Linked DNA regions of Rattus norvegicus. The protein of the gene in region 2 interacts with the protein of the main gene of each other region in a biochemical or structural test. Links are inferred from orthologs where the notes say so. Each region holds a gene or a part of one and is shown on either strand. Other genes may lie near its edges.

What was found.
Region 1: the proteins of Rbbp8 (region 2) and Ctbp1 form a complex in vitro, tested with the Homo sapiens proteins (3 studies listed by BioGRID and IntAct). The link is inferred for Rattus norvegicus from reciprocal best matches to the Homo sapiens genes RBBP8 and CTBP1.
Region 3: the proteins of Rbbp8 (region 2) and Klhl15 form a complex in vitro, tested with the Homo sapiens proteins (2 studies listed by BioGRID, with this or other methods). The link is inferred for Rattus norvegicus from reciprocal best matches to the Homo sapiens genes RBBP8 and KLHL15.

Annotation. Positions count from the first base shown.
Region 1 is NC_086032.1:81,684,977-81,690,755, reverse strand, and holds part of Ctbp1 (C-terminal-binding protein 1), read right to left. Parts: intron 5,319-5,779; 5' UTR 5,133-5,318; coding exon 5,126-5,132; intron 3,130-5,125; coding exon 2,975-3,129; intron 1-2,974. UniProt on the Homo sapiens protein: Corepressor targeting diverse transcription regulators such as GLIS2 or BCL6. Has dehydrogenase activity. Involved in controlling the equilibrium between tubular and stacked structures in the Golgi complex.
Region 2 is NC_086036.1:3,195,735-3,202,255, forward strand, and holds the start of Rbbp8 (DNA endonuclease RBBP8), read left to right. Parts: upstream 1-2,750; 5' UTR 2,751-2,917; intron 2,918-6,001; coding exon of another isoform or gene 6,002-6,096; coding exon 6,097-6,205; intron 6,206-6,521. UniProt on the Homo sapiens protein: Endonuclease that cooperates with the MRE11-RAD50-NBN (MRN) complex in DNA-end resection, the first step of double-strand break (DSB) repair through the homologous recombination (HR) pathway.
Region 3 is NC_086039.1:63,035,772-63,041,002, reverse strand, and holds the end of Klhl15 (kelch-like protein 15), read right to left. Parts: intron 2,334-5,231; coding exon 1,224-2,333; 3' UTR 1,161-1,223; downstream 1-1,160. UniProt on the Homo sapiens protein: Substrate-specific adapter for CUL3 E3 ubiquitin-protein ligase complex.

The DNA.
Region 1 (5,779 bases), on a different chromosome or scaffold from region 2:
CAACCTCCTGCTGAGAGAACACTGAAACTCCAAACCAACCGGCATGGTTTTATCACCTGGTATGAACAGCAACAGCTATCATATGAAACTGCAGCTCTTCCCACCTCACCATCACGCCAGATATTTTCCTGCTGACACAGTCAAGCTGCAGACTATCCAACTTCACAGACACCTGGGGTCCTTGCAGCTGTCCTGCTCCACAGAAGGAAGTGGCATCCAGGTCTCCTACCGTGTGAATTTTGAGTTTTCATGGGGCCAGAAAGGGACTTGCTCAGTGGTTAACATAAGCAGTACTTCTCTGGCCAGCTCTCTGCAAGGACTCCTTTTCCGACTGGGAGAGCATGAAGACCTCACATGTGGTGCCCTTGGGCCAGGGCACAAAGGGCTCGCTTGACCTCGCTGAATCTTACTGCTGCTGACTTTCCCTCTGAGTATTTGGAATACCTACAGATTCCTTCTGAAGTTGCATTAAGTCTCCTGCTCTTCCAACTGCTGCCATCCAACCAGAAACCATCCCAGGCCTGGATCTTAGTTCAACAGCACTTTGCCCAAATACCTGAGGGCCACACACGTCCCTTGGTTCCCTGCTTTGTTCCATCAAAGCATAAGCAATGGGTCTCAGAGTCTCGGGCCCTGGTGACCTGTGGCAATGGACTCCTGCACACAGTGAAACCCTCTCCTCTCAACGTCTGTCCTGATTCCAGATGTGTCTACAGCTTGAGCCCAAGGTCATATTGCAGCCTGCTGGTCATATTAAACACTTCTGCCCACTTTTTTTTTTTTGAGCATCTTAGGTGTAAGAGACTTCCTCTAGCCTGGGGTGTTCTCTACCCATGGGTCATAGAGCGTCATTCTCCCATCTCCACAGGATCCCTTCGGAGACATCTACTCCCCTAAGTCCTCACTTAGCACATGCTGAGAGCCGTGTCCCTGGGTTCCTCCTGGGCTCCATACAGCCCTGGGCTAAAGATCATTTGGCTGACAAGTTGTACAGCCCAGGGATGCTCTGAGATTTCTGCCACAAGGTGACTTTCTCACATCCACAGTCCCTTTAATACTCCTCCTGGATCCACGTCAGAAGAGCCAAGGTCTCTGTAAAGTTTTCTTCGTCATGTGCTTCACTGACACTTAAGGTGCTCATGTGCATTGCAGACAGCCACACCCAGCCAGTTGTGAGGACTTTTTGCTCTAAAAAGGTGGAAATTATCATACAGCAAAGATATATAAGACAATTCTCTCCTTTCCACACCTAGAGACAGGTGTGATTCCACATGCCCTATTGCATTTTCAGTTATTTGGGTACCATTCTCCTGTCTTGTGGCTGTGCCATTCTCTGTATATCCCTTACCTCTTAGAGTACAAGGTTTCTGCCCAAGCTTCAGCCATCACACCCAATTTCCAGCCAGCAGAAAGAGGAAAGGTGATTTCCCTCAGTGACATGTACGCCAGGTGCTATGTGCCTGTGGTCATACCTTGCCTGGGCCAGAATCTGTGGCAGGATACACTGCCCAGCATGTCACCACAGGACACTGAGTGGTGTCCAGTTTGGCTACTGTGAATCAGGTAAGGTATGACTTGAATGCAGGTCATGTCTGCTAGGACAGTGGCCCCCAGTATGGTTGCTGGCATGCTATAAGGGTGTGTAACAGTATAGAGTACACTGACTACTGCCCACGCCATGCTACAGGCTCAAGGTCCTTAATTCACAGTTTCCTGTTGTGTGGGGAATCCATCTACCACTGTATTCTCAGTCTGTACAGCAGCTCCCCCTGAGCCCTGTGTCTCATTAACTTACCTGCTCCTTGCTCCTACTCCCCTCCTATTTGCCACTCTTCCCCCAAGGCCTAAGAATCAAGACTTCTGACCTCTGCTTGCTTGCTTGCTTCTATGCCCTAAGTGATAATTTTTACTTTTAGCTTTAGTGTCTTGAAGCCCTGTGTTTTCAACTTTGTTCCTTCACATCTACCTCATGACCTTCAACATGACAATCTCAGTTTTTCTCTTGGCGGAAGGCAGTCCATCCCGTAGTCAGACTGGGTCTCCCGTAGATCAGAAGCTCTATTCTACTCACAGAGTCTTACCTTCTTATAACTGATTGTCTATACAGAAGTGACAAGTACCCAAGGACTACAGACATGCACTGGGCTCAGACTGAAATGACTGTCCCAGATACTCTGCAGCCACTGGGAAGCAAGGCTGTAGGTTCACTACATGCTAAATCCCATACCTGGCAGACTTAGAAGGCTGAGTAGTAGGCTATGTGAAAATAAGTTCAGATATGGGTTTCACTGCCCTCTGGGTTTGAGGCAACATCTGCACCCAGCCTTTGAGGCCATAGTGCTGGCAAGAACAGAGCTCACCGGTCTTCCCAGTGAAGCAAGTCTCAGGCTAACCATGCAGACCATCCATATCAGCAGGTGCCAGGTCCCTTGTGGTTTCAATCCCTGTCAGCTCCTGAAGCTCTTTAGACTGTTTTAAGAACATTTTCAAGCTGTCTTCAATACAAAGTATGAATTAACTTTGATACAAGCAGAAACTAAATGAATACATTCCAGGTAACAAAGAAACACAGCATATCTGAGCAAACATGAATCACAGAAGCTGCTCAGAGCTGCTAACCACCCGACCACAAGCTCTAGGCAGGCACTGGGTGAGGATATCGGTCCTTTTTTCTGTATGCCAGGTAGCATCAAGCACAATCACTGCCAGGTGCCCACAGTTCCGCTTCCAATGAACTGGCTATGATATATGTCAAGAAGCTACAGAGTAAGCCATCTCTACACCTCCTGACCAGGCCAGGCACAGGGACAGGCCACACAAGACCAGGTGGTATTCAGACCCACTGTGGCCAGAGGCCAAGGAACAGGCTGTGTGCTGACTCAGACTGCAGCCTGAGGTTGCCTGGCTCAGGCTCTGGAGTCCCCTACACCCCCATAAAGATTAGCCAACTATTACTAGGTGCATATGACACTACCTTCTCATGGATCTCCTGTGTGGACTGCGCATCACAGAAGGCTACTGTGGCCACATCCTTCAGGATAGGCATCTCCACTGTGCAGTCCCGGCCATCCAGCAGCGCCACCAGGGGCCGGGGGTGCATGGGCCCGTTCATGATGGGAGGTCGGACGCCTGCAAGAGAGGAGCAGACTACTTAATGCCCTTGGCAGCTCCAGTCTGTGACCTGAGGGCAGTACTACCCACTCGAGTTGGAAAGATCAGCCCTGAGGACTTGCTGTACTCAGCACCTGAGTTACATGGGGTTACATGGGGGCTTTGTAAAAAGCAAATTAAAACTGAGAAGGAGAAAATAGTTTTCTATAGCTTACTGATGACTGAGTAGACTCAGTCCATCAATCCCTCAAGGGCATAGGACCTAAAATCCTTGTAGACCCTAGGGAGGCTGTGGTAGACAGGAGGTCAGGGGAGGTAGGAGGCACCTCCACCCTGACTCCCTACAGCCATAGGCTGTCTTGTCAACACAGGAATGTGCAGATCACAAAATGATTCGATTCAGGAAAGTGCCTGGTTGCTCTTTGATGCCTAAAACCACCATGTGACTGCCCAGAACCCCACAAAGTGACCACAGAGTGATGTTTTGCATATGACCTTAATTAATATCATTCCTAGTGTAGATTTCAAAGGCTAAAAACAGTGAAGACAGTGAAGAAAAAAAGGGGGGCAAGCAGGGGTAATGACACTCTCAGATCCCTCCTCCCAGATCAAGGTGAGAAAGAACCTTAGGCCTGGAGTGCAACTCAGGAGCATCTGTCTAGTGGGTGTGAGGCCCTGGGTCTGATTCCTAGCTCCATCAAAGCCTTTGTGGATACAAAATCAGTTTGTTCCCAACATGACACACTAAACTAGACCCCACCTGGGGCCAAATACAGGAGCAAGGATTTCCCAGGTACTGTCTGGCCACCTCCAGCTGGGCAGCAGACACCTTAAGGAGGCTAAAGGTAGGTCCATGGTAGCAGGTAGCACAGCACAAGGCAGGACTTTGTCCAGCCCTTCCAAAAGCTGACCAAGGCACAGTGAGAAGTGGAGGACAAGAAACAAGTCACCACAGTCTTGTGCTGAGCAGGCCAGAGGGAGCCCGCAGTAGTTGCTGACTAGCAGCAGCCTGTGCAGTCCACACTCACCTTTCTCGCCTTCAGTTACAGAGGCTACCCCAAACTTCCAGTGCCAAGAAGTGCCTCAAAGAATCCATGTCACATAAAGACAATGCTCTAGGGACTGTCACACCCATGTACAGCAAGGCTCTATGTGTTCCCAGGCTTGGACCTGGGTACCTGGGCTGACACAGGTCTCACCGACCACCCAGAGACAATGGAGTTACCTTCTAGACAACACTAAGCCCAAGATCTCCAGCTGTGGGATAGAGGTGTTGCTATACAGAACCCTTCCCAGGGTCAATGTGCCTGACCCATAGCTAGATCCATCTATGCCTTCATAAACGTAAAAGTAAAGGTGCTGAGATTAGATGGACCCAGCCTTCAAGATGGGATCTGCAAGGGCACAGGTGTGCATTTGCATACTCCCTCCTTGAGCTCTATGGACCCTGTCCCTAGCTATTCCTATCACCAGGCAACAGAGGTGGACAAACAGCAACAATCTAACTGTGCTTCAGCTTGGACTCGCAAAGTAGCTTTTCTCACATCAAAGTGTTACTTCTTGTAGCAGGTAATGGACTTACTGCTACTTTAAAGGTGTTGGCAAGCTTCTACTTTTCCCATTCCCTGGCTTGAACACCATATTTTTTAAGAATCACCACTGTGGCGAGCAATGCCCATGCCAACAAATCCTCTAAGGTTACGAAGCAAGCCCTCAAAGCCCAGTCTGAGCCAACTGCCTAGGAAGTGGACTATAGCTCCTCAAGGACCTGCCCAGACTGACAGTCTAATAGAAACTCCATCCTCTCACCCTGTAGACAATGCCTCACAGAGGACCTACAGATGCAGATGTGGCTAGGCTGGGGTCTGAGATCCAAGGCAGCCTGCAAACACCAAGCATATTCCTCAGGCATCCCACAACCGTCAGCAAAGGTCAGCCCTGCCTGACTTATGCAGCCCATGTCCCTCTTGTAGTTCCTTCGCAGAGATGGCTTCACTTTGCAGCCCCTACCAACCTGACATTGCTTAATTGGGGCGGGGTTTCCACGACCATGAATTCGCCTGTCCAAAGCTTTTTGTCTTCAGAATCCCCAGGCCGAACCGCGTTCTGTCACGGAGCCTCATCCCACGTCTTATTGTCTCCAACCAAAGCTCTCAGGCTTCTGCTCCACAGCAGCCACTGAAGCCTGCGTCGGGTTCAAAGTCTTACTAAAAATCAAACACAAGAGACAAGTTAAAATGCCGTCAAAGGCCAGCTAAAACTCAGACTCCAGGAAGCTTCATGAAAGTGAAGCTTTTTGCTATATCCTTAGCCCTGTCCAGCAGCACAGCCGGAAGACCAACCTGGACAGCAAGGCACTCACTCACCCTGAGTTTGTGATTCTAGGTTAGAGCAAGCCCCCAAGTCATCCATGTGGACCTAGAGCAGCTCTGTAGTTGGTTACCCCACAGACTTCTGGCTTAGCCTTGTGTTCTCAAACTGAGAGAGCTAAAGGCAGCCTCTACTGAATACAGGAACGTGCAACTACAGAATGGGGCCTACCAGCTGGTCCTGGGAGTTTCTCTTTTATACTTACATTTCTTGACATCTAAGGCTGTCCCAATCATGTCCCAACATGGACCTTTTAATGAGGCTTTCAGAAAAGCTTGCTAGATGCTGGCTTTCCAAC
Region 2 (6,521 bases):
TAGACTGAACACAGTCAGCAGACTGGACATGGCCAGAGCTATTTGGGACAAAGGGGAGAATAGCAGGGGTTAGAGAACAGAGAAAACAAGTGAGAGAAGCAGGAGCAGAGGGGGTGGGGGGAGAAGGTAAGGGAGTGGGTGAGGGAGGGAGGGAGGTTGGGAGGGATGCTAACATGGACTTTGGAATGGGTACTAGGTTACTTAAGACAGTGAAGGAACTGGGGGCCTGCATGACCTTTGATATATAATATGCACCTCACTCAGGTAGCCATATGTCCCTTCTGCCAGAGGCAAGGGAAATGACTCCTTGAGGCAGAGTGGAACCAGCTTCACAAGTTCCTGAGGAATGCTGGTTTTCTCTAACTGCCAGAAATCCTCCTATCCAGGTAGAGCTCACTTCTGGCTATTTGGACTGCCTTTTCCAGTTTATTGGTATTTCATTTGGACCTGACAGATAGGAATGTCAGGAGTTCAAGGCCAACCTCAGCTACATAAAGCCAGTCTAGGTTGCATGTGTCCTGTTTTAGCAACAAACAAAAATAAGAGATCATGGGAGATTATGGGTCAATAAATGAAGATAAAGGGATGGATTTAGGAGATGAGTTATAGGCATGACTGACAGGATTTGGTGATAGGTTTGATAGGATATTTAAGGGAGAAGCTGTCAAGGATTCTGATTTATATAAGTAGATTACATACAGAGATGTGCTTTATTTTCATTTTGCTTAAGGCAGGGTCTGGCTATTTTGTCTAGGCTTATAGCAATTGTCCTAACTCAGGTTCCTGGACACCCAAGGTCTGGGATCGTAGGTGTGTACCACAATAACCATAGCTTCAGAAATAGCTTTTTAAAAAGATTTATTTTGTATTTATGTGTATGTGTCCTGTGTGAATTTATGTACATGCAGGTACACTCAGAATTCTGAATCCTGGAACTAAGAGTAGCCAGTTGTGAATTGCCTAACATGGGTGCTGAGAACTGAACCCAGGTCCTCCCTAAGAGCATTAAATATTCTCTTAACAACTAAGCCATCATCTCTCCAGGCTCTCAAATACCTCAAATAGCTTTTCTTTAGAAAACCAGTCTTCTTTAGTATTTGATTAAATGACAAACTGATCTTAGGTTCCACCCATCTCTACCCAAACTTGCTATTTCTACTAGAAACTATACAAGTCCTGTTTGCTAGAGGAAAAATATAACCTAATTTTCATTGTCTTATAAAATAGAAAAGGAGCTGGAGAGAGATGGTTCAGTAATTAAGAACACTGCCTGCTTCGCGACCATCTATCACTCCAAGTCTAGAGGACCCAATGCCTTCTTCTGGCCTTTGAACCTTAAAATAATCCACAGAGAATTCTGATTTTTTTTTTAAATTACATAAGGGCCAAGAATGTAGCTCAGTTGATAGAGTGTTTACCTAGCTAGCATGCATAAAGTCTTGGGTTAGATGCCCAGCACTGTCAAAAAATAAACTGGCCTGGTGTGGTGGCTGCCACTCATCTATGATTATTATGGTACAATACCAGCACTCAGAAGATGGAAACAGGAGAGTCAGGAGTTCAAGACCATGCACAGTGAATTTGAAGCCCACCTGGGTTACTCAATAGCCTGTTAACAAATAATTCTAGACACTTCAATTTTTTTTCTCTGCACTTGCCAGAAACTCATCATTTAACTTTAGCAGCATCCTTCTGAGTTGTGGCATTCCCACCCAGGCCTCTCAGGTACCCATTCCTACACTATAGGCAATGGCTATAAAGCTGAAAACTAAGGATGAGCCTATCCATCCCCACATCCTTCCATCTCATCCCTAAGTTGGTACAGCTCAGGCCCGCCACGAAACGTGCGGGAGTCACAGAACACTCCAGGCTAACTTCGCCCAACCCAGGGGCTCGTGGTCAAGTTCCCAACAGATGGCTTATTTTCCAGACAATTCCACAAACGCTGCCAGAGTCGGGAAGCTCCTCTCGGAAGCATTTCCCACCCACCAACCAGCTCAGCCGCCGCCCCGCGGCTTGGGGGGGAAGGGGCGTGACGCCGCGGGAACTCCCGCGTGACGTCACGGGATGCCGGAGGCCTCCGGGGCCGGGCGGGGCCGGCCGCCCTCCGGCCAGCCTTCGGGAGGTTCTGGCCGTCCTCTCCGTGGGTTCGGCCGCCTGGAGAGGTAGGGCACTCGGCGAGAAGTGGGCAGTAACGAACGGCGGGGCCTTCCCGGCCCGGAGGACGGATCCCGAAGACTCTGAAGGGAGGCTCGGAAGCTGTGAGTAAAAGGACTCTCCTTCCTACCCTGCGTGCAGGGTCCAAGCAGCTACTTCCGGTTGGACGCCGCGCTTTCGCAGTGGCTCAGGCGGCCGAGACGCGTGAAGCACCGGCCGACGTAGTCTGGGCTCGGGCCGGTCCGAAGGACGCGGGCCGGGCTCACGTTCCAAGCAGTCTACCGGGCTCCCGCGCACTTCGAGACGCGCCCCTCAGCGCTGAGCCCGCCCCGCGCATGCGCCAAGTGCGCAGCGCGCTCTTTTCGCGTAGCGTTTGAAGTGTCTTCCGTCTGACCCGGGAAGCGCTGGGAACTCGAGGGGCATCTGAGGCTGATGGAGACCCGGTGGGAGTGAGGGCCGCGGCGAGTGTGCATTTTGCTTGTGAGAGGGACGCTGAATGTCCTGTGCGTTTCCCTTGTGTGGTGTGACAGTCTAGTTTTACCGAGCGTCTTCGCGTGGAGGTTGTCGATGCTGTGGATACACGGAAAAGGATCGTCACTAGCCTTTGTGTCCACAGAGACCCGGGAGACAAGATGAGTGTTGTGAGAGAGAAGGGCTCAGTGCGCAGCGAATAACGGTTCAGAGCAAAAAGATTGGCTGCAAAGTGCTGAGCGAGCGTACTAGATGGAAAGGATGCTGTGAGCCGAAATTTGCAAACATGGTATTGATAGTTTTTACTGTAGCCGTTTTCAAAAGCACTTGAACAGTCGTGGTGGCTCCGGTAGACGAAAGCGGATTTTTCAGAGTTCCAGCCCAGCTTGGTCTACATAGAGAGTTCCAGGTCAGCCAGGGCTAAGTAGTGAGATCTGTTTCAAAACAACAAAAGCTCTGGATTATTTTAACTACTTTGTCATTGATGCATTTTTCTAAAGGATACTTCGAATGCACTGCTAGTTTTAACTCAGCTTTAAGTTTTCCATTAAAGTAATTAAACCTTTAAACTTTTCTTCCTTTTTTTTTTTTTTAAATTTTGGGGGTGGGGGGATAGGGGTCAGTAGGGTGATGGGTTTTGTTTCTGAAGACAAGATTGCTCTGTGTAGCCCTAGCTGGCCCTGAACTCGCTTCGTAGACCAGGCTGAGCTCGAACTCAGAGAGTGCGCTACCACTGCCTGGCATACTTTTTTTTTCTTGCTACTCGGAAGTATAGTTTAGGGTTCAAATCCTAGCCCCGAAGTAGCCACGCCCTAGCTGTATTACCTTGAGCAGGTCATTTAATCTGTTATAATGGCATGCCCAACTCTACACTGAAATTAGTAATTGTACCTCTTTCTAGAGTTCTGATATGGCTAATAAAAGTCTATTCCATATGCTGTTGTACATAAAGGCAGTCTCTTGTTGGCCGTAGTGTATCTTTTACACACAGGCTTGTGAAGCAAAACTGTATTAGTTCTCATCTTACTTTTAGGGAGAGACAGCAGTATTGATCCCCTCATATACCCATTCATCACTCAGCTTCAATAATTGTCTAAGTGAGCTGTTCTTGTTTCGTCTTTCCACCCACATCAGTTTTCAAACCAATCCCAGAGAACGGTAGTTTATCTCACAATATTCCTGTAATAGACAAAGCCTTTTTAATGGAAAAAGAAAAATGGGGTTGGAGATATATCCTAGCATGCCTGGATTCTTTTCAGGGTGCATAAGAAATTTTTTTTTAAGTTTAAATAGTCTCATCACTATTGCATCCAAGAGGACTAACAATAACTTGGCGTACCCAAGAAAGTTAATAAGATTATTTTAAAGCTACTTATGCTCGATTTTTGCTGATTCTTTTAGGAGCACCTAACTGCAATTTTTGTAACACTTAGTAAATGTATGTATCATTTCTGTAGTGCTTTACCAAGATCCAAGTAGTTGCATACATTCTTTTCCTTAAAAAGTTAACTTTTAGGCTAGTATACAAAGTAATGGGTTTCAGTTTAGACTTATTTTTATTTTGTGTGTATGAGTGATTTGCCTGCATGTATGTCTTTGCCTGCATATATCTATATCTATATCTATATCTATATATCATGTATACCTTAGTGCCTATAGAGGTTAGAGAAGAGTGTGTCAGGTCAGTTTCTAGAACTAGAGTTATAGAAGATTGTGGATTCTAAAACTTGAAGTTCAGTCCTTTGAAAAAGCAGCCAATGCTCTTAAACACTAAGCCATTTCTCCAGCCCCAGAAGTTGTTTTGTGTTTTTACAGAGTCTGTGCATCCCAGACTGGCCTCAGACTCTCTGTGTAGCTGGAGAATAGAGCTCCTGATCCTCCTGCCTCTACCTAAGGACTAGGGTTATAGGCATTCACCACTGTGCTCAGTTTGTGGGTGCTGGGGATGGAACCCAGAGCCTTATGAGTGCTAGGTACATGCTTTACCAACTGAGCCAAATCTCCAGGCTCTTTATAAACCCTGCCCTTCTCTCTTCCCTCCTTTCTCTTCTGCTTTCTCCCATCATTTTTCTGTGTAGCCTAGGTTGGCCTTTAGCTTGCAGCAGTCTCTCTCAGCCTCCGTAGTGCTGAGATTCAGGCATGCGTCACCATGCCCAACATTTTACTTTTGTAATGGCTAATTAATGGTTTCAGTTAAGAACACATTTTAAAATGTGTATTAAATCACTTGAGTTTCTTAATAGACTGTTGCTTCTTTTTAGGGGCCACATAATTTTTAAAGTTAATCATTAACTGTTACTATGAAAGAATCACAACATACCTCTACCCTAATAGCTTTGGACCTCTGAATAGACATATGTTCTTAGAGCTTTGCTGCATGTGTATCTTGGTGACTTGTTCTCAGAAATATACATGTGTTGATATGTCAACCATCTACCTGGTTTTAAAGCATGTATATGGGAATGATTGTAAAGTCAGTAATATTTTAGAATGTTTCTAGTTCTGGTTCAGTACAGTGTTGGATTTCACATCACTCCAAAACTTAAGGCAGTAATTTTTAAGTGCTAGGGATTGCACCCAAGGCCTTGGACTTGCTCAGCAAGCACTCCTTTCATGAGCTACATTCTCATGTACATCAGTACATGTATTTATTTACCATGTAAGTGAATATATGTGCCCTTCCCACTGGATCACACGTGGAAGTCAGAAGCCACCTTGTTAGAATCAGTTCGTACCCTTCTTCCCCTTCCAAGGATCAAACTCTAGTTGTCAGGCTTAGTGGGCACTTTTACTTGCAGGTCCTTCCATTCCTTTTTTTTTTCCCCCTTTCTTTTTAAAGATAGGGTCTCCTTATATAGCTCAGGCTGACCTTGAACTTGAGATCTCCCACCTCTGGACTGCTGTGATTATACATGTGCCAGCATAGGCTGCCCAGTAAATCTTACGAGAGTAAATGAATTCTGATTGTGGATGACTGTAAACCTTTCAATATTATTAGAGCCCTTTTCACTTTAACATAATTTTGGTAATTTCTCCTTCTTCGGTGGGAAAATTGAGAACCTTCCTGAAAATTTACCTATATGAAGGTCAAATAACTGAAATCATAGTTTTCTCACTGTACACGGTCTCTCTGTGTAGCTCTCACTGGCTGTGAATTCACAGAGACCCACCTGCATCCACCTCCCAGTTCTGAGTAGAGGAGTGTACTGTGCCCTGCTCTGATTGTCATCTTTGCCAGCTTCTGTCAAACTCTCTGAATGATTGTAAACATATAGGAAAACCTGAGAATAGCTGCACTTGTGCTTTCATCCTCATCTCAGGCTTACATAAAGGTGCGTGCAAAAAAATGACATATTGCAATCCATCATTTCAGGTATTTCAACAATCCAAAGACAACGTCACACCTATGTAAGGACACAAAGGTCAGGCGAGCATCAACAAAAAGAAGTGTGGAGCCGGGTAAGCAAGATGAGCATTTCAGGAAGCAGCTGTGGAAGCCCTAATTCCACAGATATATCCAGTGACTTCAAGGAGCTCTGGACAAAACTAAAAGAATATCATGATAAGGAAGTACAAGGTACAGTCTTTGTTTAAATGCTTGAGACTATAATAGTAAAAACTAGGTTTGATTATTTTATATATTTTTACTTAGAAATATTGAGGGGCAAATGTCCCAACTTTAAAGGGCATTTACTGTTATAATGCTTTATGATTTGTTTTATTGATGAATTGTTACATTGTAACTACAAATACTACAGAATATATAGAGGGGGAGTATTGTTTTTTAAATTGGTATATGTGGGAGAGCCTGCATGAGTATTTATGTACAATGTGTGTTCAGGAGGCCATGGAGACCAAAAGAGGATTTCAGATTCCATGGAACCAGAGTTATT
Region 3 (5,231 bases), on a different chromosome or scaffold from region 2:
GGGTTGATATCTCTCTAGTGCCAACGAATATTTTGTACAAACTGATCAAGCAGATATAATATAAGCAGTAATATAACTCGTCCCTTACCTCTCAGTCAAAACTGAGCTCAAATTGACTGTGTAAGAGTTGCTGGCCCACATTCAACACCTGCAGCAGCCTGGAGGGAAACAATGGGGGTTTCACTTCCTCTTAAGGGGCTTTAACTTAGGAGTGTGTGGTATTACCTAACTTTCCTTTAAAAGTGCTTGTATGATGCAGGGTCAGAGCTTGACACAGACCACTCAGATTCTCACTAAAAAGGGGCAACCAACATTAAACAGACTGCAAAGAAAAACATTTTTAAACAAGAAAAGGCATACATTGACATGAAACATTAATGCTTAGTTTTGAAAACAAAATGCCAAACGTTAGCTTTTGTAAATCCATACATGTTTCAGAACTATGAGTTCAAATTTTACTGAACCAGTACGGACAGAGGATAGACTACTTTGATACCAAATGAGGACTCCAGTTATTTTAACTTTCTAAAAACATTAATACATTAAAGACATTACATCTAAATTTCAACAAGTATGGCGAACTGTCTGTGCAAGAGCACTAGCTTAAAAATATAGAATCCTAACCACGCATAAAAGGAGTGTGCCTTATATATTTCTAGGATGTATATGAGTATGGGTATGCTTTCACTAACGCAATGCACATAAGAGAAGGCAGCTTAGAAATAGTGTTCTGATATAAAAAACTTTTGTAAAAAATTTAAATTTTTGCATTTTCAGCAAAAAGCCATGCAAAAAGGTCAAGAGTTTTAAACTTTTAAATAATAAACCAAAACATATAGCAGACTAAAATAATTTCCAAAGAGTTCAAACAGAGGGACTGAAATCAAATCCAGTGACACTTACTGGGTCTTCTCTTAGAAGATGCACAAATCCTACACTAACATCTGAAAGAAATATTTAAAGCAGAAGGATCAACTTCCCGGGTAAGTGGAGCAGTGTATGTATAAACTGCTTTGGAAGTAGTTTCAAGAGCTAGTGCTTCAAAGGAACTTATTGCATGAGTTTGAGGCCACTGAAAGGAAAGATGCTAGCACAGAATGAAAACTTACAATATTAGACCAATGGCTTTGATAGTAAAACTGGTGAGGTTTTTCTTTATGCTTTTAAACTACTGTATCACAAATGCTTTATTTGCCTTTTTCCTTTTAGGGAGAAAGATGTCATCAGTTGCAACGCCTAACCTCATCCAGTACATAGTCCGGAAAATGGAGGTTGCACACCTGTAAACCATCCAGCTTGCAGGGCATCCGAGGGTACTCATCTTCTTTCCACTTATTTTCATCTGGGTCAAAGGTGAGAATGGAATCACTGTAATGACCATTATAACAAAGGCCCCCAAGGACCATGATTTGTTTGTCCAGCACAGTCACACCGTGACCACTTCTACCAATTGGCATAGATGCCAAGATGGTCCATTGATCAGTATCTGGGTTATACACCTCTGTGGAAGGGCAGCCCTGAGATTCAAAAGAGGCCCTCAAGATCACACAGACACCACCAAAGACATAAAGCTTGCCATTATAAGAGATCATCTTGTGAAAGCATCTAGCATAATTCATCTTGCTTTTATTCTCCCAGCAGTTGGTAACCACTTGAGTTCTCCTGGTCCGCTGTTCTATGGTCCCTTCTTTACTGGGGTCAAATACACACACCTGTTTAGATGTGGAAGATGAAGTGATTCCTCCAGTGATAAACAACTTGTTATTGAGCACTGTCCCCTCATGTCCATATTTGTTAACTGGATAAGGATCTACGAATTCCCATTTATCGTTAGTGATATCGTATCTTTCTGTTGAGTAGAAAGTTTCATCTCTTGTTCTGCCTGCTACAGCATAAATAAACTTCCCAATGACACCAACAGCAAATTCTGAACGTGGTACAGACATGTCTGCCATACGCAGCCAAGAATTTTGTCTTGGATCATACCTGAACACTTTCGAAGAGGCATGGAATTCTCCATCGGGGCCCAGCTCTTCGCCACCTAGCAGGAACACAAAATTATTGACAATGGCAAGGCAGTCTGGTCTTAGAGGTACTTGGGGGCCCTCCAGTTCCCACCAGACTCTTGGTTTCTTTAACAGGAGTATTTTACTATTAACCATGCTATGTCCAATCATTCCTCGGAATACTGTAGTTTGGGGTTTGGCAGAACGAATACGGCTTGATTTCATGTCCAACAAGGGTTGCTGGTGAACATTTTGGAAGTAATTCAATGCTTGGTCAACTTCATACCGCAGCTGTCGGGAGTATCTATAAAATTCTGATGTTTTAACCTAGGAATACAAATAAACAAATTCAACCAAAAGATAAAACATAAACAGAAATTAAACTATTAATGCCTACTAAAATGATCCAGATATTATTGGACAGAATCCTTTGCTAAAATTGTATTTCCTAGCCAAATTATCTACTTTGTTTTCTACAAAGTTTTCTCATTGTAATTGGTCTTATAACTTGCATTTAGAATCACATATATAGCTCTCTGCTCCCAGACCCCGTGAGAGAGAGACCTAACCGCCTGGTCAGGTGGGCACTCCTGAGGCTGCAGAGCGGAAGAGACCACCAACACTGCCCACCCCTGCCCACATCCCTGGCCCAAGAGGAAACTGTATAAGGCCTCTGGGCTCCCATGGGGGAGGGCCCAGGAGCGGCAGAACCCCTGCCTGAGACACCGCTGGAACCTGAAGGAAACAGACCGGATAAACAGTTCTCTGCACCCAAATCCCGTGGGAGGGAGAGCTAAACCTTCAGAGAGGCAGACAAGCCTGGGAAACCAGAAGAGACTGCACTCTGTGCACATCCACACGCCAGAGGAAAACACCAAAGGCCATCTGGAACCCTGATGCACTGAAGCTCCCGGAAAGGGCGGCGCAGATCTTCCTGGTTGCTGCCGCCACAGACAGCCCGAGGGCAGCACCCCGTGAGCGAACTTGAGCCTCAGGACCACAGGTAAGACCAACTTTTCTGCTGTAAGTGACCTGCCTGGTGAACTCAAGACACAGGCCCACAGGAACAGCTGAAGACCTGTAGAGAGGAAAAACTACACACCCGAAAGCAGAACACTCTGTCCCCATAACTGACTGAAAGAGAGGAAAACAGGTCTACAGCACTCCTGACACACAGGCTTATAGGACAGTCTAGACACTGTCAGAAATAGCAGAACAAAGTAACACTAGAGATAATCTGATGGCGAGAGGCAAGCGCAGGAACCCAAGCAACAGAAACCAAGACTACATGGCATCATCAGAGCCCAATTCTCCCACCAAAACAAACATGGAAAAGCACCAGAAAAGCAAGATCAAGTTTCAAAATCATATTTGATCATGATGCTGGAGGACTTCAAGAAAGACGTGAAGAACTCCCTTAGAGAACAAGTAGAAGCCTACAGAGAGGAATCGCAAAAATGCCTGAAAGAATCGCAAAAATCCCTGAAAGAATTCCAGGAAAACATAAATAAACAAGTAGAAGCCCATAGAGAGGAGACACAAAAATCCCTGAAAGAATTCCAGGAAAACACAATCAAACAGTTGAAGGAATTAAAAATGGAAATAGAAGCAATCAAGAAAGAACACATGGAAACAAACCTGGATATAGAAAACCAAAAGAAGAGACAAGGAGCTGTAGATACAAGCTTCACCAACAGAATACAAGAGATGGAAGAATCTCAGGAGCAGAAGATTCCATAGAAATCATTGACTCAACTATCAAAGATAATGTAAAGCGGAAAAAGCTACTGGTCAAAAACATACAGGAAATCCAGGACTCAATGAGAAGATCAAACCTAAGGATAATAGGTATAGAAGAGAGTAAAGACTCCCAGCTCAAAGGACCAATAAATATCTTCAACAAAATCATAGAAGAAAACTTCCCTAACCTAAAAAAAGAGATACCCATAGACATACAAGAACCTACAGAACTCCAAATAGATTGGACCAGAAAAGAAACACCTCCCATCACATAATTGTCAAAACACCAAACGCACAAAATAAAGAAAGAATATTAAAAGCAGTAAGGGAAAAAGGTCAAGTAACATATAAAGGCAGACCTATCAGAATCACACCAGTCTTCTCGCCAGAAACTATGAAGGCCAGAAGATCCTGGACTGATGTCATACAGACCCTAAGAGAACACAAATGCCAGCCCAGGTTACTGTATCCTGCAAAACTCTCAATTAACATAGATGGAGAAACCAAGATATTCCATGACAAAACCAAATTTACACAATATCTTTCTACAAATCCAGCACTACAAAGGATAATAAATGGTAAAGCCCAACATAAGGAGGCAAGCTATACCCTAGAAGAAGCAAGAAACTAATCGTCTTGGCAACAAAACAAAGAGAATGAAAGCACACAAACATAACCTCACATCCAAATATGAATATAACGGGAAGCAATAATCACTATTCCTTAATATCTCTCAACATCAATGGCCTCAACTCCCCAATAAAAAGACATAGATTAACAAACTGGATACGCAACGAGGACCCTGCATTCTGCTGCCTACAGGAAACACACCTCAGAGACAAAGACAGACACTACCTCAGAGTGAAAGGCTGGAAAACAACTTTCCAAGCAAATGGTCAGAAGAAGCAAGCTGGAGTAGCCATTCTAATATCAAATAAAATCAATTTCCAACTAAAAGTCATCAAAAAAGATAAGGAAGGACACTTCATATTCATCAAAGGAAACATCCACCAAGATGAACTCTCAATCCTAAATATCTATGCCCCAAATACAAGGGCACCTACATACGTAAAACCTTACTAAAGCTCAAAGCACACATTGCACCTCACACAATAATAGTGGGAGATTTCAACACCCCACTCTCATCAATGGACAGATCATGGAAACAGAAATTAAACAGAGATGTAGACAGACTAAAAGAAGTCATGAGCCAAATGGACTTAACGGATATTTATAGAACATTCTATCCTAAAGCAAAAGGATATACCTTCTTCTCAGCTCCTCATGGTACTTTCTCCAAAATTGACCATATAATTGGTCAAAAAACGGGCCTCAACAGGTACAGAAAGATAGAAATAATCCCATGCGTGCTATCGGACCACCACGGCCTAAAACTGGTCTTCAATAACAATAAGGGAAGAATGCCCACATATACGTGGAAATTGAACAATGCTCTACTCAATGATAACCTGGTCAAGGAAGAAA